3 linked regions of the Lytechinus pictus genome follow. The protein of the gene in region 2 interacts with the protein of the main gene of each other region in a pairwise test. Links are inferred from orthologs where the notes say so. Each region holds a gene or a part of one and is shown on either strand. Other genes may lie near its edges.

Region 1 (11,393 bases), on a different chromosome or scaffold from region 2:
GTTTTACAGACTTTCTCACGAAATCAGTGTTTACTGCAACTACTATCATTTAGCTTTAAGCCAATCATGTACAAACATATTTCTATATGCACAATGTACTGGGACCTGGTAATTCATGTACTTTAAAAAAAGGGGTTAAAATATTTGACAAGAGGTAGTGGTCTTGTTGTGCAATTTTTGACATGAGGAATATTTCATACTGACCAGGATATGCATATAACTGGTATGTGAAAATAAGCAAAATTTAAAGTGCCACAACTTTTTAAATGGAATTACCAATTTTTTTTACCATTGCTATGCTTTTCTGATTTGTGCATGCTCTTATTTGTATTAGTAAACTTGTTAGAGTTGACTTGGTTTTGTTTATCCATCACCCATTCCTTTATGTAAAGATGTATTGATGTATATATGTAAGCATACATGTCGTGCAACATCCATGCTCTTCCAAATTAAATTTCATAAGAATTAAAATTCTATTGTGCCCATTTTTATATACACTGTACTTAGTACATATTTCATGACTGAGCACACGAAGGTCCAACTTTGAAGGCTTCATTTAAAAGTAACAACCTTCTTGTCCTCAAACTTCTATTCAATTTTTCACCCTGAATGTGTGATTGAACAGTATGAGAGGGAGGGAAGGGAATATTTACTCAAAATTTATATAGAGAAAGTTGAAATGAGAACGGCAAAATGGTAAAAAGATGGAGAGAGAAAAAAAGAAACAGACGATCAACGAGAAGAGATGGAAAGAAGAGGAAGATCAAAGAGAAAGAGAAAAAGGGGGAAATGGCGAGGGATGAGAAAGAGGTGAGGAGAGAAAGGCGAGACGAGAGGGAGATAATTAAGAGGGCTCGATATAAGGGAGATGGGATATAAGAGGAAATAAAAGAGAGATATAAGGGGGATAGAGAGAAAGGGAAGGTAAGAGAGAGATGAGAAAGAAGAGGAAAATCAGAAAGAAATGACAGAGAAAGGAAAATAATAAAGAGGGAGATCGAGATGATAAAGGGGAGAAATAAGAGAGAGAGGGGCATGAAAGTAGAAATGGAAGAAATAGAAGGGGATGGAGAAAAGGGAGGATAAGAGAGATGGACAGATAAGAGGAAGATCAGAGAAAATGAGAGGAATAGTTGAATGAGAAGGGAGGTTTAAAAAAAGCTAGAGAAAAGGGACATGATTTCTAATCGTTAAAATAATTTTTTGAAATGCAACCAGCTAGTAGGCCTTCATTGTTCAAATTGTAGGCCTACTCAGAAAGCAAATTTGTTGTGGGTCCTTTCTTTGTCAGTGTGCGCGTGAAAAAGGTCGAGCTTTTTATGATTTCATGTCTGTACATGAATACAAAAATGTGACTAAATCAACATTTTCAGTTATGAAAGTATTCAATAATATATAGTTCATGATGTAACAAAGCAAACTTAAACTTTAAACAGCACAAGGAACACTTTCTTTGCGTTCCTTTCTCTTATCTGCATACATGCAGCGTTTGTCGACCAGCCAGTATTGACCTAGCAAAATGGCGGTGCGCTCAGTCGAGCGTGAAGCCAATGCTCTTAGTTGCCGCACGGCTTTGTGTATGTTGGGAATAGGGACACGTATTTTCAGTTCAGTGGTGATGTCACATGTGAACAACTTTCCCTTTGATGGACTGTAAAAAAAATGTCTCTTTTTGCTTTTTCTTATGGTGACACAAACTCTTTATCCATGATTCTTTAAAAATCTGTATTATATGCCCTCCCATAGAAAGAACACAAGATCTACTGATAGATGTGATAAAAGAGGCAGTTTACCTATAAGTGAAATATATACTAAAGTAATGGGGAGAGTTGTTCACAAGTGACATCACACATCTTTGTCACATTGCCAATGTGAAGATCTCTATAGCATTACTGATCACAATATTCCAATGCTCATCATTTTTCTGATTTTTATAAATCTTTCGAAGTTTCGTTGATCTGTTTCTTTGATTTTTCTGTTTTCACACAAGCTATCTTGTTCCAAAGCTTTCATTCTCCTTTAAGGATTTATTTATTCATCCTATCCAATATCATGAAACAAATGATTGTCAGATTGTGTTTTCAATTGTCACAGTTATCTATGTTTCTACATGCTCTATTGGGAATGGACATATTTTGTGTACATACATGTAAGCAAGTGTAGAGATGTCTACACTGCATTTTACTGTTTTAACAGATGTAACCATACAGTGTTAATTAAATTTTAATCCAGAGGGGGGGGGGGGGGCTTGGGCTCATTCGCCCCATCTGGCATGTTAAGTTCATAGGCTTCCAGTCAGAAAGAAAAAGGGAAAGTGGGGAATTTTACTTGTATTTAGTTTGGATGGGAATGTGCAGCTGAAGGTTGTTATAATATAATAAATACTTATAATCAAGTTTCAAATTTTATTATTTGTTAAATGAAAATTTTTATCTATAAATTGTTCTTCAAAACGGCATTTTGTAACGTCGCTTATCGAAGCTACGTCATAACGAAGTGGTTCAAGGGTCAAGCCTATTGTATTTGCGGTGTTTACAAATGGATCAAGGAATCTACATGAGATCGGTAAAGTGAGTGATTGTATTACCGACAGGCCTTGTATTACCGAACGTGCGCATCATGAGCATCAGAAAATAATTCCATACGCTCAAAATTTTGCAACATCCTTTCAAAGAGAACTTGAATAGAAAGATGATGAAAAATTGTCAAAAACACAATTTCAAAGTCTTAATATTCGAAAAACAATAAAATATGGTCAAAATAGCGCATCAGTGACTTTGTTGTTTTCTCAACTTTTCCCATAGAAAACACACGTTCGGTAATACGATACCTTTTTCAAGTGACCAAAATATTTCACATGCGAAGAGGGGTCCGATTGGAAGCTAATATCGTAAATAGGAAAAACGATTTCGGCCAAATTTTTACATATTTATATTTTGTAGGTAATTGTGTATTCATGGTGAAAGTTTGGTGAATTTTATGAGAATAATGTGTTTGATATGATTGAATTCATGAAAAGTGTTCGGTAATACGATCCACTACCATATGGTATGAAATCTCTCATTTTTCATATTTATACTAACATTTTTTCATCCAGGTCTTCATACGCATTAGGCTATGAAGGTTGTATAGATAAATAAAATGCAACAAATTTATGTGATCTGTAGGTTTAAAGATGGATTTCCTAGGGAAATCCATCCATGTTTACATATTCTGCTTTTTGGGGAGGGTTTCAAGGCTTCGTGATGAAAAAGTATATGTCAAAATATTAAAAAATATCATCACAGAGTCCTCAAGGCTATGCCCATATTAGACCAAAAGCTTCGGTCTATGTTATGTTGGTTATGTTGGTTATTCAGCTGAACTCTGTTGGCTTCACTCAGCAAATACAGAGACCGAAGTTCTAGCGCGATGTGTACAGGGGACTAATGGCCATATGTTTATGTGTATTAAGTTCGGATAAAACAGGGCAGTGAAGTTGCGCGACAGCCGAGGTAAGTCACTGTTTTTGTTCCTTTTAACTTGATTTTCCCCGTGTTTTTTTGGCAATTAATGCCAAGAGGGAATATTAATTTGCATTTCGGTCGCATTAATTTTCATAAGTTTGATTCATTAAAGACAAAAATTGAAGAGCCCCGACGGGGGGATTTTGCTTTGTAAGTCCCCTAATGGTGGCTGCACGATAGCGAGCCGTCTGTGTACGAGGAGAAATTAGAAAAAATGTTTAAAAAACTCCACGAAAACAGACGGCTGCCAGCTGTCTATGCCCATACTGTATGCCCCATTATCAAGGATTTATTGAAATTTGACAAGCAAAAAAAAAGGTTAAAATTAAATCACCCAAAATTGGAGAATATGGACCCATGTTTAAGGCCAGACTAAAAATTGGGCCATGGACCCAAGTTTAAGGCCAGTATCTAAACATTGGGGCCGTGTTTAGGGATTTTCCAGCATATAAAACCATACCCCATCATGTTTAGGGATTTCTTCCAGACCAAAATTAATAAGCAACCCATTCCTGCGGCACATCCCCATATGCCTTGATTTCGCCTTGAGCCCTCTCTCAATCCCCTATCTCACTTCCCCATGTTTTATACACAGCTGCGTGCCGATGTGCGATGGTTTACTTACTCAACGACAACGCTATAGTGGGCGTCCTTCCCCATGAGCAATTTTTATTGGGCGTTTGGCCGTTTGGGAGCATTTAAAAAAATCGCTGAAATGTCCAATCTTTCCCTTTTAATTAGTTTTATTTTAGTAAAGGTACTCCTGAAACACTGCCCTGCACTTGTACCGCCTACATACACTGCATTAGCCCTGCCACCGGTGCCAAATTATGCAGCCACGGCCAAGCTAACACCACCAAAGTTCACAACACTACGCTGCACAGCACAGCCTGCACGAATGCCACTAGTTCAGATGCACAGCACTCGGAGTCAGATCACACTAACAACACTCAACAGTATTAAACAGCAACTAATTTTCTTTAACTTACCGACTGATCGGAATCCCATAACAGCAATTTGTCGCGCTTTGGTATCAGGAGGCATCTTTGACATGTTATATACAATTATAATATTACATAAAATGAATTATATTACATAAAATAGGTCTGTTGCAGCAGGATTTGTGGGACACAGAACAGGATTTTCTCGTACACAAACGATAAAGTTTTCTTAGACTACTTTTCAGACTTAGCAATTATGTGCTAGTATAATTATAACGATGGCAATTTTTCAGTACTTGTCCGGAGAGATGTCCGGCAGCCCCGCCGGCCCCGGTTCCAGCATTCCCTGCCTTGATTTTACACTCGTCCTTCTACTTTAATGTATTTCTTTCTTACTTACTTTCTTACTTTCTCCCTTTCTTAATTCCAGTTTCTCTTTTTTCGTTGTTGTGTATGTGCATGATATGGGCGCCCCGCGTGCATCGATCGATCGATCATGCCCCCCACCCCTCAGAGGATTTTGCCGCGCGTGATGAAAATGCAAAAAAGGGGATAAGGGAAAAAGAAAGGAAAAGGGAAAGAAAGGAAAGGAAAAGGATAAGAAAGAATATTAAAGAGGTGATATGGAAACGGAAAGGGATTGGCCCTATTAGGGCTACAATAATGTGAGAAGAACCATTCCGAAATTCCGCACTCAGAAGGGACCGGGGGGTCATAAAGGAACGGGAAATAATGGAGATAAATTAAAAGTCAAAGAAAGGAAAATGATGAAATACTATATTAGGTGCTAAACATAATGTCAAAATCTCTAATGATTAGAATTTCATTTTCAAAAGCTTTAGACCAATACGTACAGTTGCTTGCTTCGCTAGCTCTCGGGACTTTTCAGAAATTTTCCCATGCAAATTTGCCATAATTATGTTTGCCCTTCATTTTTACGCCACTGCGTATAATTATATATACGATTAGGCTACTAGCCCCGAAAATGGCTGAATCTCGATCTTTAAAGGGCAAGTCGACCTTAGAAAAATGTTGATTTTGATCAATATAATGCTAAAAAATTCATCTAAATCGGATGTAAAAAAAAAGTTGAGACATTTTTAAGTTTTGCTACATTTATAGTTATGCGCACGATTTAGTCACATGAAAATGACAGAATCGATGATGATCCTCACTCACTATACTTCTTTTGTTTTTTATTGTTTGAATTAGAGGTCTAGACAATGTTTTGATTTTTACAGATTTTACAATACTAAGGACCAATATGAACCATCCCATGAAATGTTAAACAATGGTAATTTCAAATGTTTAGGAAGAAAGTAAAACTTTCACATTTAGGACAATAAATTATAATTTTTCATATTTCATATGAAAAAATGCAAAAAAAAATATGGTGAGCTAGTGAGTGATGTCATCAGTTCCCTCATTTGCATAACGACCAGGATGTGCATATCCTATTTTGTGAAACTAAGCGAAACTTAAGAATGTTATAACTGTCTTATTTTACATCCGATTTGATGAAATTTTCAGTGTTATACTTGTTCGATTTTTTTTCTTCTTTTTTTAAAATCAACTTGTTTTTGATGGATCTCGAGAAGTTCGGGGATCGGCATTTATGAACCCTGGACCACACTCATCATAGCACTCAAGGGTTTCTTTCTTTCCTTCTGACCTTCTTTACTTCCTTCCTTAATTCCTTCCTTCCTTCCTTAATCCTTCCTTCCTTTCTTTCCCTTTTTTCTTTCCATGCATCTGACCTTCTTTCCTTCCTTTCTTTCTTTCATTTCAAAATTTCGCTTAATTCTATATAACAGTTATTCACATCCTGGATAGTATGGGGACTGATGACATCACAAACTCATTACTTTTTTATTATCATTTTTTTGCTTTTGATTTTATTACATGAAATGTGTAATATTTTGATTTTCTCCTCGATCATTGTCATGAGAAACAAAATGGTCAGTCAAGTTTGTACTTAAAGTGTCAAAGTGTATATTTCAAACATTTAAACAAAAACAAAAGCCTATATGAGGGACATCATCTAATCTCTATTGGTGAGGCGTGCATAAAACTGTTTTGTGAAAAATAAGTCAAACTTTGAAATGACATAGTTATTTTACATCTAATTTTGATCAAATTTTCAGTGCTGCTTGTTTGATTTATAATTTTTTCAAAATTTTTGGGTGGATCGACCCGGGCCGCGGACTTAATTGACCTTTAGAAATGCATCATCACATTCTTTCACTGTTTTTCTTTGTCTTCTTCTTTAAAAGAAGTGTATAGGCCTATATAGATACATAGCTCTTTAAAGGGACTATAGTAGCCTAATGTGGGAAATTTTTGGCCAAAAATAGGGAATAAAAAAATACTGAAAATGTAGCTATAGCCTGACCTTGCTATTTGAACGGTCCCAAATTCTTATTCGCAAAATTGATGCGAGTTTGGAATCGTCAGAAATGCACTCCATCCCTTCCCAAATAGCACCCCCCCCCCACAACCAGCGCCCCCCCCCCCCACCCTCCATGTATACAACATCCAGAGCCCCGCCCGAGCCTATATAGCCTAGCCACATGCAGGTCAAAATAGAAAATACAATAATTGTAGTTTAGGTCTTTTAAATAGACTATTACACGTATTGCATGCATGGCGCCTATCGCCGGTATAGACTTTCAGTGAAAACCACCGGCCTTAAAAACTGGGAACAGTCCGGGAACTGTAAAGTCTCCTCATACAAATGTACAATAGGCTTTTGCTGGACTAATCAAGACGTTGAATATATACTACTCATTGAGGTGAGGTGAGTTTCTTGTTATATGTTAAATTGGTATTTAGTCAGGCATTGATACGAAACGGTGGGATTTAGGTCGCCGCCTCCGCCACAGAGCAGAGTCACAGCCACAGAGTTGGGGGCGCGGTCCCCACAGGTCTCTGGCCATACCTGGCCCTTGCGCCGTTGGCGTTGCGGGAGTGAGTACATGAGTGCGGGTACGGTTTACCGGTATAACTTAAACTTTAATAAAGCCATGGGTTCGGGGTTTATTTTCATTTGGTCTAATGTAACTAAGATCAAATGCCAATTCGTCCAATTGCCAACTCGTCTACTATCATTTGGTCTAGGCTATCATCAGTTCGTCCGATATAGAACTTAGTCTTACTCTTAGATTAGAAGTCTACTTCCCATTTTTAGCCATTTATTTACTGCCATTGGCATATGATATTAGGCATTACATGATACTGTATAGGCCGAGTCTAGATCTATTTTAATTTTAGATCCAAATCTAAATCCAGATTTAATCCACATTTGGTCCAAATTAGTAAAGCCTCTAAGTCTAACTTAATAAGGCTTAGACTTAGAGCCGGGGGGGGGGGGGGGGGCACTTACATTGACGAGTGGATACCATCATCACCATGCGCGACCTAAAAACACGTAAAAAGGTAGACAGCTGGCAGCCGTCCGTTTCGCCTTTCGGGGAGTTTTTTAACATTTAAATTTTTTTTAATTTCTCCTCGTACACAGACGGCTCGCTATTGTGCAGCCACCATTAGGGGGTTAACAATGCAAAATCCCCCCGACAGGGCTCATCGATTTTTGTCTTTATTTCATAAAAATATATAAAAGAACTACCAAAATAAAGATTATTCCGTTTTGGCCTGATATTCACCAAAACGGGGAGAAATAATCTTAAAAGGAGAAAAAACAGTGACTTCGGCTGTCGCGCAACTTCACTTCCCTGTTTTATCCAAACTTAATACATAAACATATGGCCATTGAGTCCCGGCCTTTACAGATCGAGCTAGAACTTCGGTCTCTGTATTTGGTGAGTGGCCAATGGAGTTCAGCGGAACAACCAACATAACAGAGACTGAAGCTTTTGGTCTAGTAAAAAGGATGTCTTTTTCAAGATAGGGCATGTTACATAAGTTACGCAACGTAATGTGACAAAAAAATGAAGATCATCAAATATCAATTAATTTGGTATCATTTGAAAGCTCTTAAAGAGACCTTTCAAATGATACAAAGAACTATTATTTTCTGATTATAAAGTTATTCCAGTTAAGGACGTTCCACAGTTAAAGTGAAATCCATGACATTTTCACCAAACTTTGCACATAGATACTTTAAAACCTTAATATTCGAAATATGCAAAAATTAACATAGGTCCATGTGCTTGATTTTTTGCTATAGAGCTTCAAAGTTCACCCAAATTGACGTTCTTAAGAATTGCGCATTCAAAAGAATTTGGCATTTTTAGACCGCCCGAGATTACTACAATGAGTTTAAACCTCTATTTCTCAGTCAAAATACATGAAAAAATCATCAAATTTCGCAAGAGAGTTAATAATTGTATCGTTAGAAAGGAAAATCTATTTATATTGCTATTTGTTTGCAATTTTAAGTTTAGCAGCACTGTCAGTTCTTAAACATGGCGTAAAAGATAACAAAATCCCAATCTGAAAAATGTAAAATTTCAGTAACAAACTACAAACGTACAATAAATGCTGCACTTTATTCAAAATCCATGTCATTTTCACCAAAATTTGCAGAGTTGTAGAGGAAGGTATACCTATGAGGTACAAACATTAAAAAATAGAGGTTCATGTGCTTGTTTTTAAAGTATCAGCATTTTTATTAGAGCAAATGTGATTTTTAAAACACAAAAAATGCGCCGAATGCTTAGTATATATGTGAAGAAAAAATCAAAACCACTCTACCATTTATTCAAATTCGGGGTAATATTCGTGATTCTTGGCAGCACTGCAGAGTAAAGTATTTTGAAATTGTAGAGAATCTTTTTTTGAATGGTCCATGGAATAATTCCGTTTTTAGCTTCATAAAATAACGCATCGGATCTACAGTTAAAGTGCAGAAGATGAGAAAAATCATTTCATACCCGCAGCTTATTAACCACATGTTCATCCATTGTGACGTCAGCGCGCAGAGTGTAAACTATGCGCAGATCATAATGCGCACAAACATAACTGTGGAACGTCCTTAAAGTCACGCATACTCATCCAAATTTGTGGTCATTGTCTTGCAGTATTAAAAGTCAATGGAATACAGAACCGATTTTTGTGACCATTTTGAACCCAAGTCTTCAACAGGCTCTAACTTCTTTGTTTTTTAGCCCTTTGAAGTAATTTAGGTATCAATGGAAAGGTGAAAGAAAGCTCAATTGATGATAAATCATGTCAATTTGTAATTTTTCTTCTTGATATGTGTAAAATAATTTCTTCTAATTAATTCTAATTAATTATGCAAAATAACAATTACTCGCCTCTTTTTTTTTGCCAAATGAAGGTGATCATGATAGATGATTTATATAATTTAGTTGGCATCAAAACAGCATCATGTAGATAATTTCCCTAATGAATTTGTTTAAAGTATTTTTTTTTGTAATTTCTAATGTATTACTTTGTTTTCTGATATAAATTACAAGCTCTTTTTCAACTTTAGTATTGTATACATGTATGTACGGGGGTCTTTTTTATATGTGAAAGTTATCATTCCTTTTGTACTTTGTGTATGTGCTATTTTCTGATGTATTTGATTGTTTCACCAATGCCTTATGTATTCTATTGTTTCAACAATTTGTTACGTAGCTTTTGATTTTAGAGACAATGAACATTTGATTACAATTTTTTTAGGAGGGATGAGCCAAGTGTAAAATATGTATGTACATGTAGCATTGTATGCAATTTATTACAAGTATCAAGAAGGATAAAAATGAAGATTTCAGTTTTCAATGCATTTCTTAGATTTGTTTACATGTACATACATTGTATTACAAATGCCCTGTTTTAGCTCTCTTTTTTAAAGAAAAATAAATAAATTCAGATTCTAGAGTGAAATCACTGCACATAAATGTACACAATTTTTTACACATACTTCCATGCTATTATGAAACAAAACAAAAAATAGCAAGATTTTGTGGGAAAGATCTTAACAATCCAAACTTACCAATCTCCCCATTCATGAATAGACTTGAAAGGCACCAAATTATTAGTTGAAGCCAAAAGAAAAGGAAAAGAGTGGTCTATTTCTTTCAAAACAAAACAAAAGACAACCAGGAAAAAACAGATCAAAGCTCCAAACAAAAACAGACATCAAAGCTCCAAACAAATACTCAAAACAAGAGAAACAAAAGTGACACAAAAACTTGTACCAATCCCATCCCCATTTTCCAGTTTAAAACAACCTGCACCCCTAACGAAAAAAGAAAAGGAAATAAAATGAAGAAAAAAAAAAATCAAAATTAATGAAATAGAAATAAAATCATAAATACAGGACTTAGACCCATCTGGAAATGAAATATTCTTTCCTCTGAATTGTCATGTATATTCTTACAAGAGTGGAAAAAATATATAAAAAATAAGCAACATAGTTCTTGCATTATAATAAAAAAATCAACATTTAAGATATTCCCCTTTCAAAAGCAAATCCAGTCTCCAAATAATGAAACATGATAAAAAAATAAAATAAAAATAAACAACGTAATTTTTGCATTTTTATTAAAAAGTCAACATTTATGATATTCCCGTTTAAAAAGCAAATCCAGTCTCAAAATAATGAAACATTGAAAAGTTTCCAAATTTTCTACACAAAAAAAAAAAACACTAGGTTTTAAGAAGGTGACTAAAAATCCTGCTATTGAAAACTTATACAAAAAAAAGTTTAGATATATCAGAAACCAAGCAGTGTGAAAAATGGTCTGATGATCTAAATGTAGATCTACATGTAAGTTTTTTTATCCAATGGCAAAATAGATTTTTGACTATTGGGTTACTTTGGATTAAAAAATCAGAATGTTCCAGTATAAGTTTATTCACTGTTGTATATCAACTAATTAATGATTGTTTATTTAAGATACATGTAGGTGTGAAGAATTCACCATTTTAACTGAACCACAAACTTTGATACACTTATTCTGTTTATGCCCTATTGTTT
Region 2 (10,555 bases):
CAGTATCACCTGTTGGGGAATACAATTATAGAGTAATCTGGATATATTTTGTAAACCTAACCCTAAGACCCCCACCAAAAATGATAGGCATCTTCGCTTCACCTTCTAATATTGCTTCTCTGTGCCAACTGTTATGACAAACTGGAAAACAAGGCAAAAGCAATTTTGTGTCTCGCCCACTTATGAAAATAACCAGAAATATTGTGATTTGCGAGGGCACGCAACAGAATTGTCATAAGACTTGTTTTTACTATGTTTTTACCCAAAGACCAATGTTTGCATTCCTTTTTATGAACTTTTGTTAAAAGACACGCTTTTCAGAATATTGAAAGTAAAAGATCTATCCTTAATTTATCGATCAAGCAAGCGAGCTAGCCCCGACTATGAATAGCCAATCAATAAAGGCTGAACTAGCGGAGTATCAGGAAAAGTTCAAATCATCTAAAAAAAAACTCACAGAAAAATTGCTTTTTCAAAATTTTTACCGTTATCATCTCATACTGCTTTTTACAGAATATACTTGAAAGGCCAAACATTTTTTACTAATGTAAAATGAGAATTTCCAACAAGTTTGGAGCTTTGCGGCATTTCACCCATTCCCCCAATTCTCGTCAAGCAAGTTTTCTCTGAGGTTGACCCGACGCATCACATTCTTGCGTGTACACACATGGATAGTTCCACAATCTGATAAGTGAATGCCATACAGATTGTCACAAGCCCAATTCTACTTACCTCTTTACATACTTCCTGAACACACCCTGGAATTCCTTTAAAGTATATCCGGGCACCTCCACTAATTGATGGTTGGTGCAAACATCGAAATTAGTTACGCTACTGTCTTCCAATGCTTCAGCCTGTTCCTCTGCAGATGGGTTAGCTCCAATGTCAATGTTAGCTGATGTGGTTTCTGTCACTCTCTGTATACATGTAAATAAAATTTGTACAATATACACTGTATACTTAAGAAATGTGGCAGTAGAGGGAAGGGGGAGGTACACGTAGAGGGAAGAAGGGTGGACTGTGGAGGAGGAATAAAGAGCATGAGTAAGCAACATAGGCGGCGGAAGCGGGGGGGGGGGGGGGTCTCCTGCCCCCCTAAATTTGAGGTGAGGGGACAGACCCCCCTGAAATTTCCGTTGATAACCTTTTTTGTTGTTGCTTGCTTGTCCAATTTTTTTACCCGTGTCCATCCCATAATTTCAGGTGGACCCCCCCTAAATGGTCCAAGTTCATTGACCCTAAATGACCTTTGACCTTGGTCATAAGACCTAAAACTCAAGCAGGATGTTCAGTAACATTTGATTAACCTTAAGTCCAAGTTTCATGAACTAGGTAGTTATGCTGTCATTTCAAAAACTTAATCTTCGGTTAAGATTTGATGTTAAAAAAGCGGCGCGGCACCTTTAGTCTCAATCTGTTTGCAGGCGAGACAAAAATTGACCTTTGACCCCATCATCCTGAGCAACAAACCGGTGGTACATACATGTATACCCAATTATAATTTGAACCAAATGTGATCAAAGTTGATGGAGAAATAAAATGAGAACAAGTTACATGAAACTTCAAAAAAAGGATGGACATGACCTGAAATCACTTGACCTTTTGACCCCGAGATGACATTTGTCCCCATCATCCTCATTGACACACATGTGGTATTCCCAAGGAACATACACAGCATCATTCAACAAGGATTGAGATGCTTTTGTTTCGCGGGCTACTTTTCAAATTTTCAGGTCTCAACCACGTTTCTGGGGCCATCGATTTCCCTGGCTTTTTAAAACCTGTGTTCCTGAATTTCGAGGGCTTATCCGACCTACATGTATGAAGCTAAAACAGCATCAAGAAAATTCTTTAAAAAGGAAAATTTAATCCTTGTGAAATCAAATGTTTGTGCCTGATAGTGATATATCAATGTTGCGTAATTTTGGAATGTACAGCATACTGGGGCATCACAAACTTGGTCTCAGAAGTTGGGTGAGACTTGAAAGAAAAACATCATGTCTGTCGTGTCGCAGATTTATCGCAATGTCCAGGGGGCCCACCCCAAACTTGGTTTTTTACCTTTACTTTGATCCTAATTATATTCTTGTTCGGGCCCACTAGTTCCATTTTGAAATTGTCGGAGAAAAGCTCATCATCTGAAATGGAAAAAAATGAGAAAAATACAACTATACCGTTTAATGGGAAAATAGCATTGAAAACAGATGTACCAAAGCTTGATATAACGAAATCTGAAAATAGCAGTAATAAGTGGAGCAGCTCTGGCTGACTCTTGCCTACATTATGCGATTAAAGCGATGGTCCGGGCTGAAAATATTTATATCTAAATAAATACAGTAAAATTCACAGAGCAAAATGCTGAAGATTTCATCAAAATCAGATAACAAATAACAAAGTTATTGATTTTAAAGTTTATCAATATTTTGTCAAAACAGTTATATGCACATTGTCATGAATATTCATTAGATGGCAGGGTGCTACATAACTTTTTTTGAAGCACTTGCCCAGTCGGGCAAGTGAATTCCTAAAAAAGTTGAAAAATAATTGCCCGAAAATATATTTCACTTGCCCGGAAAACTCTTTCATAACGTTTTACCGCTCCAAAAGATAGAAGCGCAGTTTTATATAGGCCTAGGCCTACCATTGCTTTTTTCCTCTCTTTCAAACATGAACTGGACTGTGTACCTAAGGCTATACCTTGTATTTGCCTGCCATGACTGAAATTAGTGTCAATATGCCATTTTATTAATTTCCTCCATCATATATTTTCATGTACTTTTGTATACATGTATGATGTATGTCCATGGCACAAGATATAAAAGGGAATCACTGAAAAAAACTAAACTAAAGAAAGAAAGAAAGAAAGAGGAAAAAGAAAATGACAAAGAGTGATATAAAGAAAACAAGGCAAAAGCGATTTTGTGTCTCGCCCACTTATGAAAATAACCAGAAATATTGTCTGATTGTGATTTGCGAGGGCACGCAACAGAATTGTATCAAATTCAAAACTTCATTGTGAAATGACTGGGATGGAATAACACTTGTCATAAGACTAAGAGTCTTGCATTAACGTAACCCAGAGAGCTCCCGTCCGCGCAGCGGGCGGGAGCCCAGAAGCTCACAGTGTATTCTACCATTGCCACCGGACAAGGGTGATTTATGGTCTAAATATTTCTCCAAATGAATTGTGAAAACAAAAAGTGTACAATTACCACGATTATATGGATGAAGGTCTAGCGAGTGGCAGATTCCTGACATCTGAGCACAGTCTGGAACCTCAAAAAAACGAAAAGTTCTCTGCTTCTACCCCGTCTCGATCGGCCATTTTTGTTAAAAATCGTAACAAAACGGCCGATCGAGACTGGGTAGAAGGAGAGAACTTTTGGTTTTTTTGAGGTTCCAGACTGTGCTCAGATGTCAGGAATCTGCCACTCGCTAGACCTTCATCCATATAATCGTGGTAATTGTACACTTTTTGTTTTCACAATTCATTTGGAGAAATATTTAGACCATAAATCACCCTTGTTCGGTGGCAATGGTAGAATACACTGTGAGCTTCTGGGCTCCCGCCCGCTGCGCGGGTGGGAGCTCTCTGGGTTAGCATTAACGTTGACCTGAAAATGACCTTTGACATTATCATGTGACCTCCGACTGCAGCATGACATGCAGGTCCCCCAAGTCCATTTACCATTTAGACTTTTTAGTAGGCTAAATGATTTTTACTCTCTAGAAAAATAGTAGAAGTACTAGAACTAGAACTTGTAGAAGCCGCCTGGCTACTCCGAATGGGTGATGTGATTACACATGCAGGCTCGCACTCACGTAACACACTACCGTCGGTGAATGGGGATTACAGTAAACTAAAATGTCAGAAATTGTTGAATAAATCCCCAGAAACGACGGTTATTCCTGTCTACTACTAGTACTACTAACGAGTAACGTAGCTCGTAGACCTGCTATGGCCTAACTAAAGTTACAACTTAGGCCTACATTCTTACAATATGTCTATCACTCAGTGCGGTAGTGCGGTAGGAAAGTGGAGACTGCAGTGTCAGTGCAGCAGTGGGACACAAAAATATCTTCAATTCTCATATTCTTCAAAAGCTTATCAAAACATTTCAATCACTTCGCTACACAATTAATATAAAAGGTAGTATATTCACTTGTAAGTATGTCCCTGTAGATAATCATTTTGGTAGGATTAAATGGATTTTCTGAAGGCCCAGAATGTCTTCGTCAGCTTCGGATGCTGCGGACTTAAAAAAGGACATGTATGAATCATACGTCTGTGAATGCAGTGACGTATTACCATTATGGCAAGCCAGAGGAGGGGGAAATATTTATGACCCCAACAAAAATTTTGGGTTTAGTGTCATATATGTTTATTTAAAGGAATGGTCCAGGCTGGAAACATTAATATCTCAATAAAGAGAGTAACATTCACAGAGTAAATTGCTGAAAATTTGATAAAAATCTGATAACAAATAACAAAGTTATTGAATTTTTAAGATTTGCATTATTCCGGTGAAACATTCCAGGCATGACTTTATGAATATTCATTAGGTGGGCTGATGATGTAATATCCCCTTGTTCCTTTCTATTTTATGGTAATCCGCTCCCTTATCTCCGGGATTTTATCATATGAAATTAGGTTTATTCAAAAATTTTCTACCAAGAACTAAAAAAATTGGATTGACAACTGATTGAGTGCATTAGTTATTTTGCCGCAACTTCATTTATAATGAGAAACATCATTTACACATGTATGAAAAAGTGAAACATTTTTGATTTCATCTAATAACATTAAGAAAAAGGAAAGTGGAGATGTGACATCATCAGCCTACCTAATGAATATTCATCACGATGTATATGAACTGTTTTCACAAAATATTGAGAAACTTTAAAATTCAATAACTTCGTTATTTGCTATCCGATTATTACGAAATTTTCAGCATTTATTTGCTCTGTAAATTTTACTATATTTGTTTAGATGTAAATATCTTCATCCCGGACCATCCCTTTATTATTTCATTCATCTGTCTGATGAGAATATGGAATTTATTCAACTTTGTAATTCATTGATGTGCATTAAATTGTGATTATAAGCAATGGATGTCGTACATCTCCAGAAAAAAAAATCGATATAGATTCATTGAAATACATAAAATCAATAAAAAATGACAACACAGACATACAAAAAAACGAAAAACGGATCGTTCCCAAATATTAGTTAATCCTTTTTCTGGAGTTGACAAGTCTGTTTTGAAAACAGTTAACGCACTCATCTGTATGTCATGATAAGGCACTTGCCTATATAGAGAAATTTCATGAGCCATGAATAAATGCATATGTATTAGACTCTCTCTCATTTCGATGGTGCATAAAAAAACAAAATTGTTTTAACAAGTATATGTTCTTATATATTTAGCAGATGGTACAGGTTGATAATATAATTTCATCAGTGTATAATCTTTCCCTTACGTTTGCTCACTATAGTAGTGAGATCAAAATGGCAGGGTTTATTGCGATTAAAGCAATGGTCAATGCAAGTTATGCCAACTCAAAGATCTGACCTACTCTCTAAATTACAAGGATTTGTAAAAATGTACGGCTATGAATAGTGACCGGTCGACGTTAGGTTTTTAAATCTACCCTTAAAGATTTAAATGTTAATGGATTTGGATTTGAAAATCAATCTGTAATAATTTTAAATCCTGGTGGCCGTAATGGATAGCCCTGTCAATTAGAGTGCACTATCCAGTAGTTGCTCTAAAATACAATATCGCATGTCATTTCTTAAAAATATTAAGTCCCAACCGTCGGAGGGCGAACCCCCCCCCCTCCACACCCTCCCCGATCGGTCGCTTCGATCCCTTGCATAGCCTCAATCAGACACCAATCGTCCCCCAATCATCACAAGAAATCGACACCTATGTTATACTTGTAAGCCGAACTTGGAGGTTGTATCCCCTTGTATTTTTCGGAACGCTTCTGACGAAGTCTTGATACGAAAGCTGAAGCTATAAGGATGGTTTCTTGCGTCATCTTTTTTAGTTGAACCTCATCTTATTGTATGTATACATATACACACATACATATATATATATATATATATATATGTGTGTGTGTGTGTGTGTGTGTGTGTGAGGGTGTGTGTGTATGTATTAAGAACTTTGAATTGGAGGGAAATATTCTTAGGATTACCTGGAAATTCTTGTAGAATTAAATGTGTCAATTCTGTTATTCTTTTTATTAAATATGCAATTTTTTATTCCAGAGCTGAAGGCCGGGTACCGTCATTTATTAAAATACACAAATATATAACGGGTTGTATAGAAGAAGAAAGACGCCTGGCAACGAAGTCAGGCAACTGGCAAGTTAAGTTTACATTTGCAGAAATGGGATGAACTGAAGGTGAAAAGGGATTTGAATGTGAACAGGTGGGATGTGTCTAGTGTGGTGCGAGTGTGAATCCTGGTGTGAATGTTGATGTTTTTTTTTTCTTTTTACTAGTTCTTTTCAATTTCCCCTTCTCTTGTATCAATATGATTTGCAGGGTTTTTTTTCTTTCTGTATCCTATTGCGCCAAAATGTTAAACGTTCATTATGCAGATTTGTATATATTATGTTTGTTTACGTATGCGTGGTATGTGCATGTGTGTATATGGGTGTTAAGGAGGGTGTGTGTATGTGCGTATAATTATGTAAAGTTATGTTGAAGCTTGATTTAAAATGGGATGCAATGATAATACATTTAGGTTGATTTCTGTTTTCCTGCAAATCATTTATATAGCCATTTAACATTAATTATTATTGAAATACATAGAGGGTTGGGGACTCAGTTAAGTTATTTTTTTCAGATATAAAAGTATAATTTTAAGGAGTTTCATTCCGTCCTTATTTGCTTCGCAGTTCTTGGTAAATATATATGTACTTTTTTGCATATCCTTGTTGATATGAAATGAAGATTTGTATTTTTTTTTGTATTTATCTGCAGTTTATGTAATTCATTTGAATGAAATCCTTAATAAAAACATATTGAAAAAAAAATATTGTAAACTATTTGGATATATCAGGAGTACAACTCTTACAAGAAAACAAAGGGAATTTCAGTTTATGCTTTTACATGGAGCATTATATACATTGATGAGATTTGGTTTCGTGGGAGATAATTATTGCTCGTTTTGTTGTACAAAAAACTGAATCGTAACCCATATACTCATGGATTGCATAAAAGTTTAACTTCTGTGGCAATTTTGTATTGATCATTTTTGTTTAGCTGAATTAAGAACTTTGAATTGGAGGGAAATATTCTTAGGATTACCTGGAAATTCTTGTAGAATTGAATGTGTCAATTCTGTTATTCTTTTTATTAAATGTGCAATTTTTAATTCCAGAGCTGAAGGCCGGGTACCTTCATTCATTAAAATACACAGATATATTACGGGTTGTATAGAAGAAGAAAGACGCCTGGCAACGAAGTCAGGCAACTGGCAAGTTAAGTTTACATTTGCAGAAATGGGATGAACTGAAGGTGAAAAGGGATTTGAATGTGAACAGGTGGGATGTGTCTAGTGTGGTGCGAGTGTGAATCCTGGTGTGAATGTTGATGTTTTTTTTTTCTTTTTACTAGTTCTTTTCAATTTCCCCTTCTCTTGTATCAATATGATTTGCAGGTTTTTTTTTCTTTCTGTATCCTATTGCGCCAAAATGTTAAACGTTCATTATGCAGATTTGTATATATTATGTTTGTTTACGTATGCGTGGTATGTGCATGTGTGTATGGGTGTTAAGGTGGGTGTGTGTATGTGCGTATAATTATGTAAAGTTATGTTGAAGCTTGATTTAAAATGGGATGCAATGATAATACATGTAGGTTGATTTCTGTTTTCCTGCAAATCATTTAGTCATTTAATATTAATTATTATAAAAATACATAGTGGGTTGGGGGCTCAGTTAAGTAAGCTTCTTTTTTTTTGTATAGATGTAAAAGTATCATTTTAAGGAATTTCATTCCGTCCTTATTTGCTTCAGTTTTTGGTATATGTTTTTTTTTTGCATATCCTTGTTGATATAAACTGAAGATTTGTATTTTGTTTGTATTTATCTGGAGTTTATGTAATTCATTTGAATGAAATCCTTAATAAAAACATGTTTAAAAAAAATATATATGACAGGGGCGGATCCAGCCTTCGCCAATAGGGGGGGGGGGGGCAGAAATCTTTATCATCCATAATTTCCCTGATCGGCCGCTCGATATTGATTTTTTTTGAAGGGGTAGTCGTAATAGTCACTTCTTATAGCTTTATTCTCATAATTCAACATAAATATACATGTATAATAACCTCATAATCCTTATATTATTCCAACAGTGCGAGCGATAAGCGCGAGCTAAATATTTTTGAAATTCAATGTATTTTGTCTTCAAATCCGGACATTCTAGGCAATGTTTGTGAACCCCGAACATGATGTGTATAATGAAATTTTTAATACATGTTTTTACTGATCGAAAAGGTACCTGTTAAGGACTGCTTGTAGTTAGCCATGAACTTATGTTACATATTTCAACAATCAAATAATGAGGGCGCGAAGCCTTAGCTGAACTTTTTTTGACATTTCTACCTAACTTGGAAATTCCAAAACACTTTTGTGTAATCGTGAACAGGGTAGGTATATAACTAAACAACTGATGCGAGCTAGTGCAAAGCGCGAACGGAAAAAAAAAATCGAGATTTAGGCCTAAAAACGGGACACATTCATGTTTTGTAAATCATGAAAAGGAAGAGTGATTCGAGATCTTTTTACATTAAATATGGTAACGCAAAGCGCTAGCAGAATTTTTTTGATATTCTGGTCTGAAACTAGATAATGATTTTGAATAGAGAACAAGCTGCGTATCTGAATAAACATGAACGCGCGTGTTTCCCATTTAGACCTAGAATCTGGGCATTATACATTTCGTTATCATGAAAATCTATGAAGCGAGCGCGAAGCGCGAGTTTAAATATTTGATATTCTGACCTGAAAAGGGGTCGTTTCAAGTTGTATGCTTTAAGCACTTTGTAGGAAAAATGTGAGGTGGATATGGATCGCACTTTATAAGGAGCTGATATATTTAAGTATTTGAGTTTTTTACATATAGGACCGGGACATTTTGTCATCATACTATACATGTATAAAAATGATGACTATCTTCCTATATTTCTTCCTAAGCGCGAGATGAAACTTGTCGATATTCCATTCTGAAAAGGACAATCTTATTTATCAATCTAATAAAAATAGGCCTATAATGAGAGCGCGAAATCTATCAATATTGTGGCCTGAAAACTGGAAATTTCAAGCACTTATTCAATTATGAATAGGATTTGATGAAATTTTCTGTGCTATAGTTACGCTTCTGATATTTTTCTCTTTTTATTCAAATCGACTTTTTGTTGATCGGAAATATGGCTATCAATATAGCGCTCTCATACAAACAATATTAACCGAATTCCATGGCACACCCATAGCACACCCAACATGCCCAATCCAAATTCAATATTTCTGATCCCCGGCATCCCCTTATGAAATTATGGATTGTCTCTACTTGATAATAAAAGAAGTTCTGGTTATGATGATATCAACAACGTTATACTTAAAGGAGAATGAAACCCTTGAAACCAGCTGAATCCATATCAAAGAGAAAAATCAAAGAAACATATTGTTGAAAGTTTGAGGAAGATTGAATGAATAATAAGAAATATATGAGCATTTGAATATTGAGATCACTAATGCCATGTAGATCCTCCCATTGGCAATGCGACCAAGATCTGTGATGTCACACACGTACAACTCCCTCATTACTTTAGTACTTGTTTCACTTATATTCTCACTTTTATAGAGTATTTCACAAGGTGAGGTGTTCTCTTTATGAGAGGACAAGTACAGAGGTTTCACAACATTATATCATTGATGAATCGTTTGTCATATGATTAGAATGAGCAAAAAGAGATGTTTTGGGGTATATTTTCAGTGTCCAAAAGGGGAGAGTTGTTCATCTGTGACATCATAGATCTTGGTCGCATTGCCAATGGGAGGATCTCCATAGCATTAGTGATCTCGACATTCAAATGCTCATACTATTGCTAGTCCTATGTTACTCAAACTTTTGTTGATCTTATTCTTTGATTTTTCTGCTTTCACAAAAGCTAACTTGCTCCAAGAGTTTCATTCTCCTTTAAAACTATAATTCCATATATTGTTGATCCTCTTGCTCACATTTTCAATTTGTTCATGGACAAGTGAAAATTGCAATTGTCATTCCCATTTATAAGAAAGGAGATAGATCAAGCAATTACCGACCTACATCCCTACTACCATGTATTTTTGAAATTCTGGGAAAAATCATTATAGCCGAACAATTAAATTTTTAAATGATAATAACATTTTTTCAAATTTACAGTTTGGATTTATATAGAGAAAAGCACAGTACATTTCACGCCTTATTATCATTTGTTGAAAAAGTTGATCATGCTGTCGATAAACCTTTACATAATTATGGTGGGTATTTTCCTGG
Region 3 (11,314 bases), on a different chromosome or scaffold from region 2:
ATTTGACAAAAAGGACCAACTTCACTGAACCATATTTTTAAACAATACTAATTCCACATGTTCAGTGAGGAATAATCGTTGTTTCACTTGACAATGAAGAAAAAATTAGAATATTTCATATTTCAAAATACAAAAGAAATAGTGAGTGAATGGTGTCATCAGTCTCCTCATTTGCATACTGACTAGGATGTGCATATAACTGTTTTGAGAAATTAAGCAAAACTGTAACACTCATAACTTTCTTATTTTAAAAGGCCGAATTTGATAAAGTTTTCAATGTTATGCTTGTTGGATCAGTTTCTCTTTTTATTCAATTCACCTTGTCCTTTAAGCAATATGGTAATTCTTGATATCAAGAAATTTTCGATTTCTTAAATATCAAGAAATCGAATTCTTAATATCAAGAAATTTGGTTTTGTTTAGTTAAGCAATGGTAATTCTTGATATCAAGAAATCGAATTCTTGATATCGTAACCCATGATGAGAAAAGCCTGCACCCTAAGTGGCGTGAACAGGGAAAATCCCCGAATTTGATACCCTATAAGTGGCATAAACATCAAAATCGATTTATTTGATACCATATACTGATGACTGATGTTAAATACAACAGTTATAAATTCCATTATTTTTTTAAGTTATTGAAAATGAAAGTATAAGACCAACATGATTACTCTCAAGGACACCTCTCTTAGCCACTTTGAATATATAGCCTGAATTAATGAATGCAAGTGACTGACTGATGCATCACTTAGATCTACCATTCGTTTTACCAATTTTATCCAAACTTGAAAAATGGAATCCATACCAGTTAATGTGTTGAAATGTATCTTCTTTTTAAATTTTATATTGATAATAAAAAACAAATCATTACGGTATATGAATAAAAAACAGCATTTACCAACATAATGATTATATATCATTATTGTAATATTTCCCCAATACGTCTATACATGCAGGCACTCTTCATCAAACTTGTATACACTAGCGTACATACGGGGGGCAGAGGGGCAGTCTGCCCCCCCCCCCCCCTGACGAGCCATGCACCCATGCAAAGCCACCACCCATGCATGTATCCCTGCCCCCCTGACGAGCTTGAAAGACCTTTTTGCCACCCCCTGACGAAAATCCTGGAAAATCCTATACGCCAGTGTGTATCTAGCTTGGACTGTACTCCAGGGCGGGCTCCAGGGCCGGGTTAACTCTGATAAGTGCTAGTCTGCAGGCACAGACCCTGATTGGAACTTTGATCAATAAGTGTGCCTCCACGCAAAGACTAGCACGAGACAGGCGCGTAGCCAGGGGGGGGGGCGGTGGGGGCGGTCGCCCCCCCCCCAAAACGTCCCCAAAAAAAAAAAAAAAAGAGAAAAAGAGAGGAGAAAAGGAAAAGCGAAGGGAAGAAAGGGAAAAGGGTAGCTTTGTGGGTTTTTTCTTTTTATTTTATTTTTTTCTCAAAAGAGAAACTCCTTCACTCTTGCTCTAAATTTATATTTTTGCTTCCGCGCTGCGCGCGGTTAAATGACAATATTGCAGTTCTCCATTGTTTCCCCCACCCTTTCTCTAACCCTGTTTTTCCACCTCAGCTATATGTGTTTCTTGCCAGTTAAAGTTCAAATGTATACATTAGGGCATGGAATTAGAGTAAGGTTAGGCCGAAATATGAAGTTGTCTTTTTTTTAATTTATCGCGCAACTTCTGGTCGGGTCGGCTCCGGGCGGGTAAAATCTTTATATCAATTTCTGCCGTCACCTCCATATAGGCAAATTCTCCCGCTTTTCATCTCATTACTAAACAACCATAATTTGGGGGCAAACAGGTTCCTAATTTAAAAAGAGGAAGGTATAAATTTCGTGTCGTATTAAATAAAAAAGTACAATATTTTTCCATCAAATTCTATTAAACTTCATGTCATTTCTCTGCACATTCATCTCCTGTTTTCGCCCTCAGATTGAAATTTTGAATGACAATTAAGTTTCTTTATCATTCAAAATGAAGCGCTTCAGGATAAGTCAAAGAAATTAGGCATCCTTTTTTTTATATAATTTCAATAAATCACAGAAGTTTCAACTTTTTGCGCACTATTTTCCTTGTAATGAAGTTCAATAATCTTAAATAATCAATTGAATTAGAGCCGATGTGGTATTAGAGATATCTGCATTTGATGAAACGTCCGCCCTTTAAAATTTCAGAGTTTCATTGCTCTGCGCGGGGAGGAATATCTTCCTCCGGCATATACACTTCTCCTCTGTTTTGCGAATTAAAGATATGCACTGTCGCTATAATTGTTTGTAATCAAATCTGATCTTTCCAAGGGAAGTATTCAATATATCTTAGAGAATACCCTTTTCTCGGAACCCTTTTCTTTGAAAAAAATGATAAAACGCTCTAGCTTCCGCACTTCGCGCGGGGTTATTATTACTTTAATTTCCTCCATTGTATTCCTTTTTTGTGCGTTCACAATCACTTTCGAAAACAAGGTTCAAAATCACAATATAGTCGACTGAATTGGAGCTGATATAGGTACTAGAGACAAGAGAGACGGCTCCTATTTTCATTTTAATTTATGAAACACCAAAAGCTTCGCGCTTCGCGCGGGAGGGGGAAACTCCCCCTCCCTGCACCCACCCCCTAGGGAGCGCGCTTCGCGCGCTCTGTAAGTGTTGGCACGCTTCGCGTGCATTTACCGCCCCCTCCAAAATGAAATCCTGGCTACGCGGTTGGCACGAGAGAGCCTTCAGTACACAAGGCATGAGTAGGCTGCACATTCAGACCCTTAACCCGAGTGAAGGGTTTGCCCAGCAGACTAGATAAGTGCTGCGCTGGCCGGCGTGTGCGAGGATTATTTTGTATGGCTTTGTTTGTTTTCACTAATTATTGGTCCCAAGAAATTTGAAAAGCCAAAAAAAAGGGGGGGGGGATTTCACACAAAAAAACAAAGGTGATATTTGGTTACTTTTTTCTTTTCTTTTTTTCTTCATATTTTCCTAAGTACCTGGGGGTGCTGCCTATATGGAGAATAGTAGGCCTATATACGCAGCACCCCCGCCACTAGCGTACTTACGGGGGGGGGGCAGGGGGGGCACTCTGCCCCCCCTGACGAGTCACAACCCATGCAAAAACGTATCTTTGCCCCACCTGACGAGCTTGAAGACCTTTTTTTTTTTTTTTTTTTTTTTTTTTTTTTTGCTTGTCAATTTTTTCTGGAACGAAATCCTTTATTTGTGATCGAAGACCTTTTTTTTTTTTTTTTTTTTTGCTTGTCAAATTTTTTGGCGGACGGTTTTGCCCCCCCTGTGGAAAATCCTAGGTACGCCACTGACCCCCGCCCAAATAATTTTTGGGGGTGCTCCAGCACCCCCACTTCCCAGGGCCATGATATACCAAGGTATATACGATGAAAATTTATTCATATCGCGGCACATCCATCTCATGTCTTCTTTTGCGCCATTAATGAAACTGATTTCACTCAAATTTCTTTATCATACAAAGGAAGCGCTGAACAATGAGCGAATACACATAATTTTATAGGCCATGTATGTTTCAAAACAAACCACAGAGGTTTCCGTGCTTCGCGGGTATTTGAAAGGGAAGATTCCTCTCCGTGCATCATCTCTTTCCTATTTTGAGCTTTTTTGAATTACTAATATAGAGCAGGTTAAGGTTTAAGAGAAATTTTGACATTTCTGATCTTCAACGGTATTCGCGGGAAGGAATATCTTCTCTCTGCATATTATACCATCGATCTATCCCGTTTTGCTGTCTTTTCAATGTAAATTTTTGTTATCAAATACCACTCAATGAATGCCCTTTTCTGTTCTCATTTTTTTTTAATAAAACGTTTTGACATCCACGCTTCGTGCGGTAAGAGGAATCATTTCCAATTCCCTAAACATTTTCCCCGGGGGGCCACTTCCATTGACGAGTGGATAGTCCACCGGCGTAAATCCACTCTGAGGAGTGGGGGGGATGATTGACTTTTTGACGATTTTTTTTCCGTCGATCTCACGCTTAGGTATAAGCACATGCACACTCTCACTGACCCCCCACATACCCCCTTACACACATTTTAATATTTATTTTGCGAGAGCGAGCGAAGCGAGTGAGCCAAAAAATAACAATTTTTCTAGTTTTTAATCGCATTTTCTAAAATAAATTCTAAAATATGAGCGAGTAAAGCGAGCAAGCCAAAAATAACCACTTTTTTGGTTTTCAATCGCATTTTCAAATATAAATTTTAAAATATGATGGTTGTTTATGACAGATATTCAAAGATTTTACTAACAGATTAATTAAAATATATTTTCTTTCTTAAAAAGTGGGGGGATATTTGTACACGCCATCCCCCCCCCTCTCCAAAGAGTTGGGGGATATATCCCCCCATCCCCCTCCCCCCGGATTTGCGCCACCATGGGGTCTCGAAAAGCACCCTAAACATGTATTTTCCATATTCTAAAAATGCACCCCTTAACAAGTATTGGCGTGTGAAACCCTACCCTTAACAAGTATTTGAAACAAAAGGATACTCTTGCCAAATATTCCCTGATTTTTAAAGCGATATTTTTATTGTTATGTCACGGCCGTCTGTCGTCGGTTACCTTTACCTACATCATTGCATGGGTTTAGTACAGCCCACCTCCCACAGTACATCTCGCGCAAATCGTACTCTTAACACGTAGTGTTGACTCTTGGGGCAAAAAAAGTACATCCCTTATAAAACATTTTAGTCTTAATTTTTTACCCCCTCGCAAATTTGACCCTAAAGGCCTAAATACGTAGCTTTCCTAACGAAAATAGATACCCTTTTTTCACTATTTTAGTGTTTTTGACACCCTTATTACGTTACGTACGTAACATGCCCTATCTTGAAAAAGACATCCTTTTTATGTTTTTTTTTTTTGGTCGCGCATGGTATCCACTCGTCAATGTAAGTGGCCCCCCGGGACATTTCCCAATTTGGGGGCGTTCATATAATTTATTTCGAAAACAATATTTTTTATAACAGCATTAAGCCAATTGAATTCGATTTGATAAGGGTATTAGCAGTGGCATAGTAGCGGGGGAGGGGGCAGGGGGCCACGTGCCCTGGGCGCCACTTTCAGGGGAAAGGGGTTGCAAATAATTAAAGAAAAGGAAGAAATTAATTTAAAAGGCAAAGAAATAAAGGCACACAAAAAGGAATACCAGTGAAGTTGATCAATACCCCCGTTCTATAGTGGAACCGGGGCCAGTCGCGGTTCTAGGAAGGGGCTTTGTGGGGACTGAAGCCCCCCCCCCCCAAAAAAAAAAAAAAAATCACTCAAGCCCCCAAACAATTTTCGACTCCAAATATAGTGTTGGCCCTATAATTTATTTGTATTATGATAATAGAATAATGCAGCTTTTCATCCATGTCACTCACCAAGTGCTCGAAAATTCGAAATTTTCTCGCTAGGTCGCTACACCTTCCCTCGAAAAAGCGCATCGAAATGCAGAATACATTAATGCTCTCTTAATAGTAACAATAATTATTATTTATTTATTGGTTTTCTTTATTTTATACTGCAGGGTAGGCCTGTTCAGTGATGCAAAACTGCTTTCCTGAGGCGCCCTGCAGTTGAACAAATTACTCAAATAATAATAAAAATAAATAAACAACAATAATAATAACATTTAGATCTATATAGCGCTTTTTTTCTGAGGATACAGCCCTTGCTATTATTAACCCGGCTTTAGCTCGAGCTACCATCACTGGCGCTCAGTGCATGCATGGAATTGATCCTGCCGGGTACCCATTCATCTCACCTGGGTCGAGTGCAGCACACTGTGGATAAATTTGCTTAACCTGTGGGGTTTTTTGCCCCCCCCCCCTTCCAACCACCACGAATATAACAATAATAACGCGTAAAATAAGGTCAAATCCACCTCACAAAAATGTTGATTTGGACCAACAGAGAAAAGTCAGACAAGCATAATGCTGAAAATGACTTTAAATAGGATGTAAAATAAGTTATAATATTTCAAAGTTTCGCTTATTTTTCACAAATGGTCAATATGCACTATTTAGTCACATGCAAATGAGAGAATCGATGATGTCCCTCACTCACTATTTCTTTTCTTTCTTTTATTGTTTGAATGTTGCAATATTTCAAATTTTACAGATTTGGCAATTGGATCAACTGCCGCTTGACTGAACCATAAAAATGGTAAACAATATGTTTAGAGAGAAATAAAACGTTATTTCACAGGAAAATGAGGAGAAAATTAGAATATTTCGTTTATAATATATAACAAAAGATAGTGAGTGAGTGAGTGATATCATCAGTTACCTCATTTGCATACCGACCGAGATGTGCATATAACTATTTTTGAATGACATCCGATTTTGATGAAATTTTTGGTGTAATAGTTATAATGGTTGAATTTCCTCTTTTTCTTCAAATGAAAGTGTTTTTTGGGGGTGGACTTGTCCTTTTAACTCTGAATTTGCCTATTATTGTCAAAAGCGCTCTGAATATTGCCATTCTTTTTAGGATATAATGTTTATATTGTTGATGACTCGGTCTGAGGCTAAAGTTAGTCATGTAATTAAACCATTAAGAGTTCAGAAGTGTCGGTCCACATCTCGGATGGGAGGGGGTGGAAATATCAAGTTATCGCCAAATCATAATGAAGAATTTTGCGGTTGAAGCACGCCGAAAAATATTGATTATTTTATTCACCACATTCCTTCGTTATAGGGGCGAGTCAAATTTTCTAAAATGTGAACATAATTATTATAGGCCTATAATAATTTTAGAATGAAAATCTTGGGGTGTCAGCTATCTTGTTTCAAGAGTTTTTAGATCTGTCTTCTTCATCTTTAATCTTTTTGATCAGTATTTGTTTGTTGAGTTGAAATAAACAAAAAACAAAACAGTGCAATTAAGTGAAGATAGATGGGGGGGGGGTAATCTTTATCGCATATTTTAGCCCCCATAATAATAGTTAATACCAGACACGTTTATACGCGCATAGACAATTGAAGATGGAACGCCACCTTGCGTTGAATTTCGATCAGCAATTTGACGTCACTTCTCGCAGACGAAGCCATTTTGGAAAAGCCGACCCATTTCACACATCATAACAAGCGGAATCTATAACTTTTCTTCAAAGATAGGCAGAACCTGCTGTAATAATTGACATTCTATCATGAGTACCTTGACTCAAAGAGGTAGTACTTTAATTCAAAGACACACAGGTGGAGGATCTAAAGGAGCAGAAGGGGGAAAATCAAGTAATGAAGCGGACGAAGATCCGTTTCGTGAAGAAGAAGATGACTGCGAATCAAAAGAAACGAGATTAACATTGATGGAAGAAGTTTTATTATTGGGTCTGAAAGACAGAGAGGTAAAGTATGGAAAACCCAGGCGCTAATGCAGTTTCGCACCGGCCGATTACCAACATACCTCATCACCAATACTTGTTCCCAAATGTCATGACAAGTCTCTCACTCTCAGTCTCAGTAGGATGGGGGGTCGGGTGTCCGGACACTTTATTTTTGAACTAAGCCTTCTGTTTTGTCTTTGGATTACACTAAAAATATGAATTCAATAGTTGTAATCATCTTCCATTTTGTTCTCTATAATATTTCCTTACATTTTGTACTAAAAATTGATGAAACTTCGCTTGTAAATATTTCCAAATGACTTTCTAAAATGGATCGTCCGGACACACAACCTGTCCGGACACACAACAACTGGGTACCGTATACTATAGGGTGTCTGAAGCCACACTGGGTGATTTCAAGTTTGGTGTTCTGTGTTGGTGTTGAGAGCGTAAAAAGGCCGCTGAACCGAGCTCCAACACCGAGCTGGGTTCAGAGGAATGATACCGATTGCGTTATCGATAGCACATGACGTCACGCCTCTGCGCTGCGCTGCTAAATCATCTCAACTTCACGCGAGAAGTCTCGACGACGAAAATGAAATCGGTGAGAAATGCATTAAATTCTCATCGTACAGAATACCAATGTTTTAATTAATTCAAGAATTCGAAAGAGTGAACATTATTCTTCATCAAAATATATACAGCTCAAAAATGATTTGTGCTCATCTTAACTGTAAAAGCTAATTTTACGGGGATGTCTCATCGCGTTCGCCGCCTGTTCACGAGCTTGAGATTGCCAACACCAACACCAACACCGAACTTGAAATCATGATTTTCCCAATCCCTGGGGGTTGGTGTTGGTGAATGGGGAAATTGCACGTAGATCGTCAACATCAGCCGCAGTGCTGGGTTCAGCAGACGATATTCAACACCAGCATTCAACACGAACTGCCGGAAATACGTCATATTTTCCGAGGTCAATCCCAACACCAGCCTGATTTCAAGTACGGTGTTGTGGCTGGTGTTGGTGTTGTCACAACACCAACACCAGATTTCAACACCGTACTTGAAATCACCCACTGAAAAGTGTCAGCATAAAACAGGCTGATTTAGGGGAAAATATGGCACATTTTTTCGGGAAGTTCAGGCTGCTAACGTCCATGCGCAGTGAGTCGCAATCGACTCAAATCTTTGTATTATGAGATGAAAGTATCCACAAATCCTTTCAAATATATGATAAACTTTTCTCCTGAAATTGCTACAGTTTTTAGTAAGAACATCATGAATTACACACTTCCGGAAAGGCGACACAATGATGGGTATATTTTGAGTCGCCGATTCGAAAAATCCAATACATTTACTACACAGGCATATCGCGCATGCGCACACACACGCACCGATCGTACACAAAAGTGCATTGACTCAGCTGCGTTGTTGAAACCTCTCCGTGGGTTGAGATATACGTTGAGTCGCCACCCCCTCTTATTTTGATAACAATTGTCACCCCCACCTTCAAAATGAAATGATTGTGAACATTTTTTTATACTCTTTATTTTGATACCAAATATTGGTAACTTGAGCGGGCAGTTTTGGAAACATCGATTACTTAGTGTGGGCGTCTCAAATCGTCGCCCGAGAAAAATGGCAGCTTAAATTCTCACCGTACGGATCCAAATTTGCAAGTCTGACTTTGACTGCGCTAAACTCCTTTGTGTTTTGCTGGATCTTTTAACCAAACGTTGCAGCATTTCAATGCCACAAGACACTTTTCAACATTGCAAAAGATTTCTAGAACCATGGTAGTCAGGCAGTGACAGGTGAGTGGCGCAACAGTAAAAAAATTGCACATGGCGACTCACTGCGCATGGACGTTAGAGTAGCAAAAATGTGATCTGAATTAATTATTAACTTGTGTTTGGCATGTATGGAAAGAGAAAATTCAGGGGGTTCTTTTGACAGTAAGGACAAGTTTATATGATCATTTTAAATAAGGATTTAGAATTAGAGATAAATTGCAAACCCTTATTTGTGTGTGTGTTGAGATTGCCATTTCCCCATGCGTTTTCTATGGGAAAACTAAATGTCTGTTTTGCACAATTTTTTTCACTTTGTCGCAATTTTTCATTGTGATCTGGTTTCCAAATCTTTATAAAAATCATACCATCAGAAAGAGCATAAAAAATCCTATTGGACTCTTTATGGACAAGTTTTTGGCATTAATGATAAATTTATAACAGCTCTCGGAAGCTAAAAATTTGGAATTGTGTGTGTCCATATCTTAACTACACAGTCTATGGCAGAGAAATGCTGAAAATTTACCTAATTTCATTCTTCTTTTTTGCAGCCAATAATTGGATTTTTTTCAAAAATGTTACATTTCTGTCAGTCTGAAGGTAATTTCTCTTCAAATTCACAAAGAAAATGTGATATTTTCTTGAAATAAGAAAAATAATTTTTTCTCCAGACACCCTACTCTCAGTCACATTTTGAGGTAAATAATATACCATACCCACCTCTTTTCCAAATATCGCGATCGGGAAGTTAGCAACCAAAAGATTCGCCTGCAGCATGCTGGCAGTTTGTTCGCCACATGTTCGTATGATTTGGTTGCTAACTTCAGTCCACATCATCATTACTGTGCACGGCGAATCCAAGCAATCCGCGAAGTGATGTCTGAGGATTCGAACAACGACATCGAGATCAAAGCTGAAATACAGCCGTTCCCGATCGCGATATTTGGAAAAGAGGTGGGTATATTGACCTCGAAATGTGACAGAGTGAGAGACTTGTCATGACATTTGGGAACAAGTATTGCCTATTGGTGATCAGGTATGCTGGTAATCGGCCGGTGCGAAACTGCATTAGCGCCGAATCCCAACTTGATATTGTAAAAAAAAAGAAAAATATTTTGGCCATATTTTGATGAAGTTCAGGACTTCAGGTTCTCTGCGACGTGCACTTGCATAAGTTGCAAATGCCATTAATGATTTGCCAACTTGCGCTTGCACAGCTCAGAGTTGCAGCAGTGGGGAAAAAGAAGGGGGCCCCTTTCTGATGTGGCCTGTCGACGTCGACTGTCTTTCTCAGTTTCTGAGCACCAGAAAAAAATGTATTTAGATCTAAAAATCTAGGCCCTAAGACATAGTACACATGAATTTCTTTTATATTCCATTAAATTTTCAATTAATAATGAGACTGAGCAAGCTCGAGAATGTGCCAAAAATAGGGACATGTTTCAGAAAACCTTAAAATTACATTCCTTTTTACAATTTAAGCATATCTGAAAATGGAAATTCTGTTTCCCCATAGACTTTGTGTACTTGAAAAAGTGACAATTCCGTTTACTTAGAAAATCAACACTGTAAACGCTGTTAGTGTTATTTTCGCGGGATTAATTTTTTGCGCTTGGCGGCTTCAAAACATATTCGCGGGTTCTTGAATACGCGCTGCACATTCCATAATCACAAAGTCACTTCCTTCTTCCCCATCTGTGAATGGTTTTAATTAACATTTCAGCAACAAAATTGTATTTCTGGATCATAATTTTAGCTCTAAAGCGGCGTAATTCAGCATTGTTTTGATCCAATCATGAGCTTTTGTGACATTTACATGTAGGTTTACTGCAACTTTTCTTTGCGGGGCAGACATCAGGGAAGGTAAAACGGAGGCGCTGCTGGCCTGGTATGGACGGCCGAGCACCGGGTAAGGAGCAGGGGGATTATGGCTATTCAAAGTGCATGGGATCAATCAACAAAACTGGGGCCCGTTTCTCAACACCGTTATAAGTCTAACTTCTTGACTAAATCGGAGATAGTGAGCTACTACTTGTCCGCTAACCGTTTCACAAAGCCCTCTTTGCCAAGATCGGGTACAACAACCTCACTAAATATTTATGACACCTCCGAACCTGTCATAACTTCTTTTTAAATGACGTAGTGGCATCACGTGGGTAGAGTAGACTATGACATGCAAA

The links.
Region 1: the proteins of translationally-controlled tumor protein homolog (region 2) and GTP-binding protein Rheb-like interact in binary tests that used the Drosophila melanogaster proteins (3 or more experiments, as listed by UniProt). The link is inferred for Lytechinus pictus from reciprocal best matches to the Drosophila melanogaster genes Tctp and Rheb.
Region 3: the proteins of translationally-controlled tumor protein homolog (region 2) and Golgi phosphoprotein 3-like interact in binary tests that used the Drosophila melanogaster proteins (3 or more experiments, as listed by UniProt). The link is inferred for Lytechinus pictus from reciprocal best matches to the Drosophila melanogaster genes Tctp and sau.

The regions. Positions count from the first base shown.
Region 1 is NC_087247.1:20,765,606-20,776,998, forward strand, and holds the start of GTP-binding protein Rheb-like, read right to left. Parts: upstream 4,876-11,393; 5' UTR 4,560-4,875; coding exon 4,496-4,559; intron 1-4,495. UniProt on the Drosophila melanogaster protein: Binds GTP and exhibits intrinsic GTPase activity. Activates the protein kinase activity of TORC1, and thereby plays a role in the regulation of apoptosis. Stimulates the phosphorylation of S6K through activation of TORC1 signaling.
Region 2 is NC_087260.1:9,563,345-9,573,899, forward strand, and holds the start of translationally-controlled tumor protein homolog, read right to left. Parts: upstream 4,305-10,555; 5' UTR 4,192-4,304; coding exon 4,164-4,191; intron 2,139-4,163; coding exon 2,062-2,138; intron 918-2,061; coding exon 733-917; intron 1-732. UniProt on the Drosophila melanogaster protein: Involved in calcium binding and microtubule stabilization.
Region 3 is NC_087249.1:5,500,818-5,512,131, forward strand, and holds the start of Golgi phosphoprotein 3-like, read left to right. Parts: upstream 1-7,010; 5' UTR 7,011-7,164; coding exon 7,165-7,362; intron 7,363-11,314. UniProt on the Drosophila melanogaster protein: Phosphatidylinositol-4-phosphate-binding protein that links Golgi membranes to the cytoskeleton and may participate in the tensile force required for vesicle budding from the Golgi.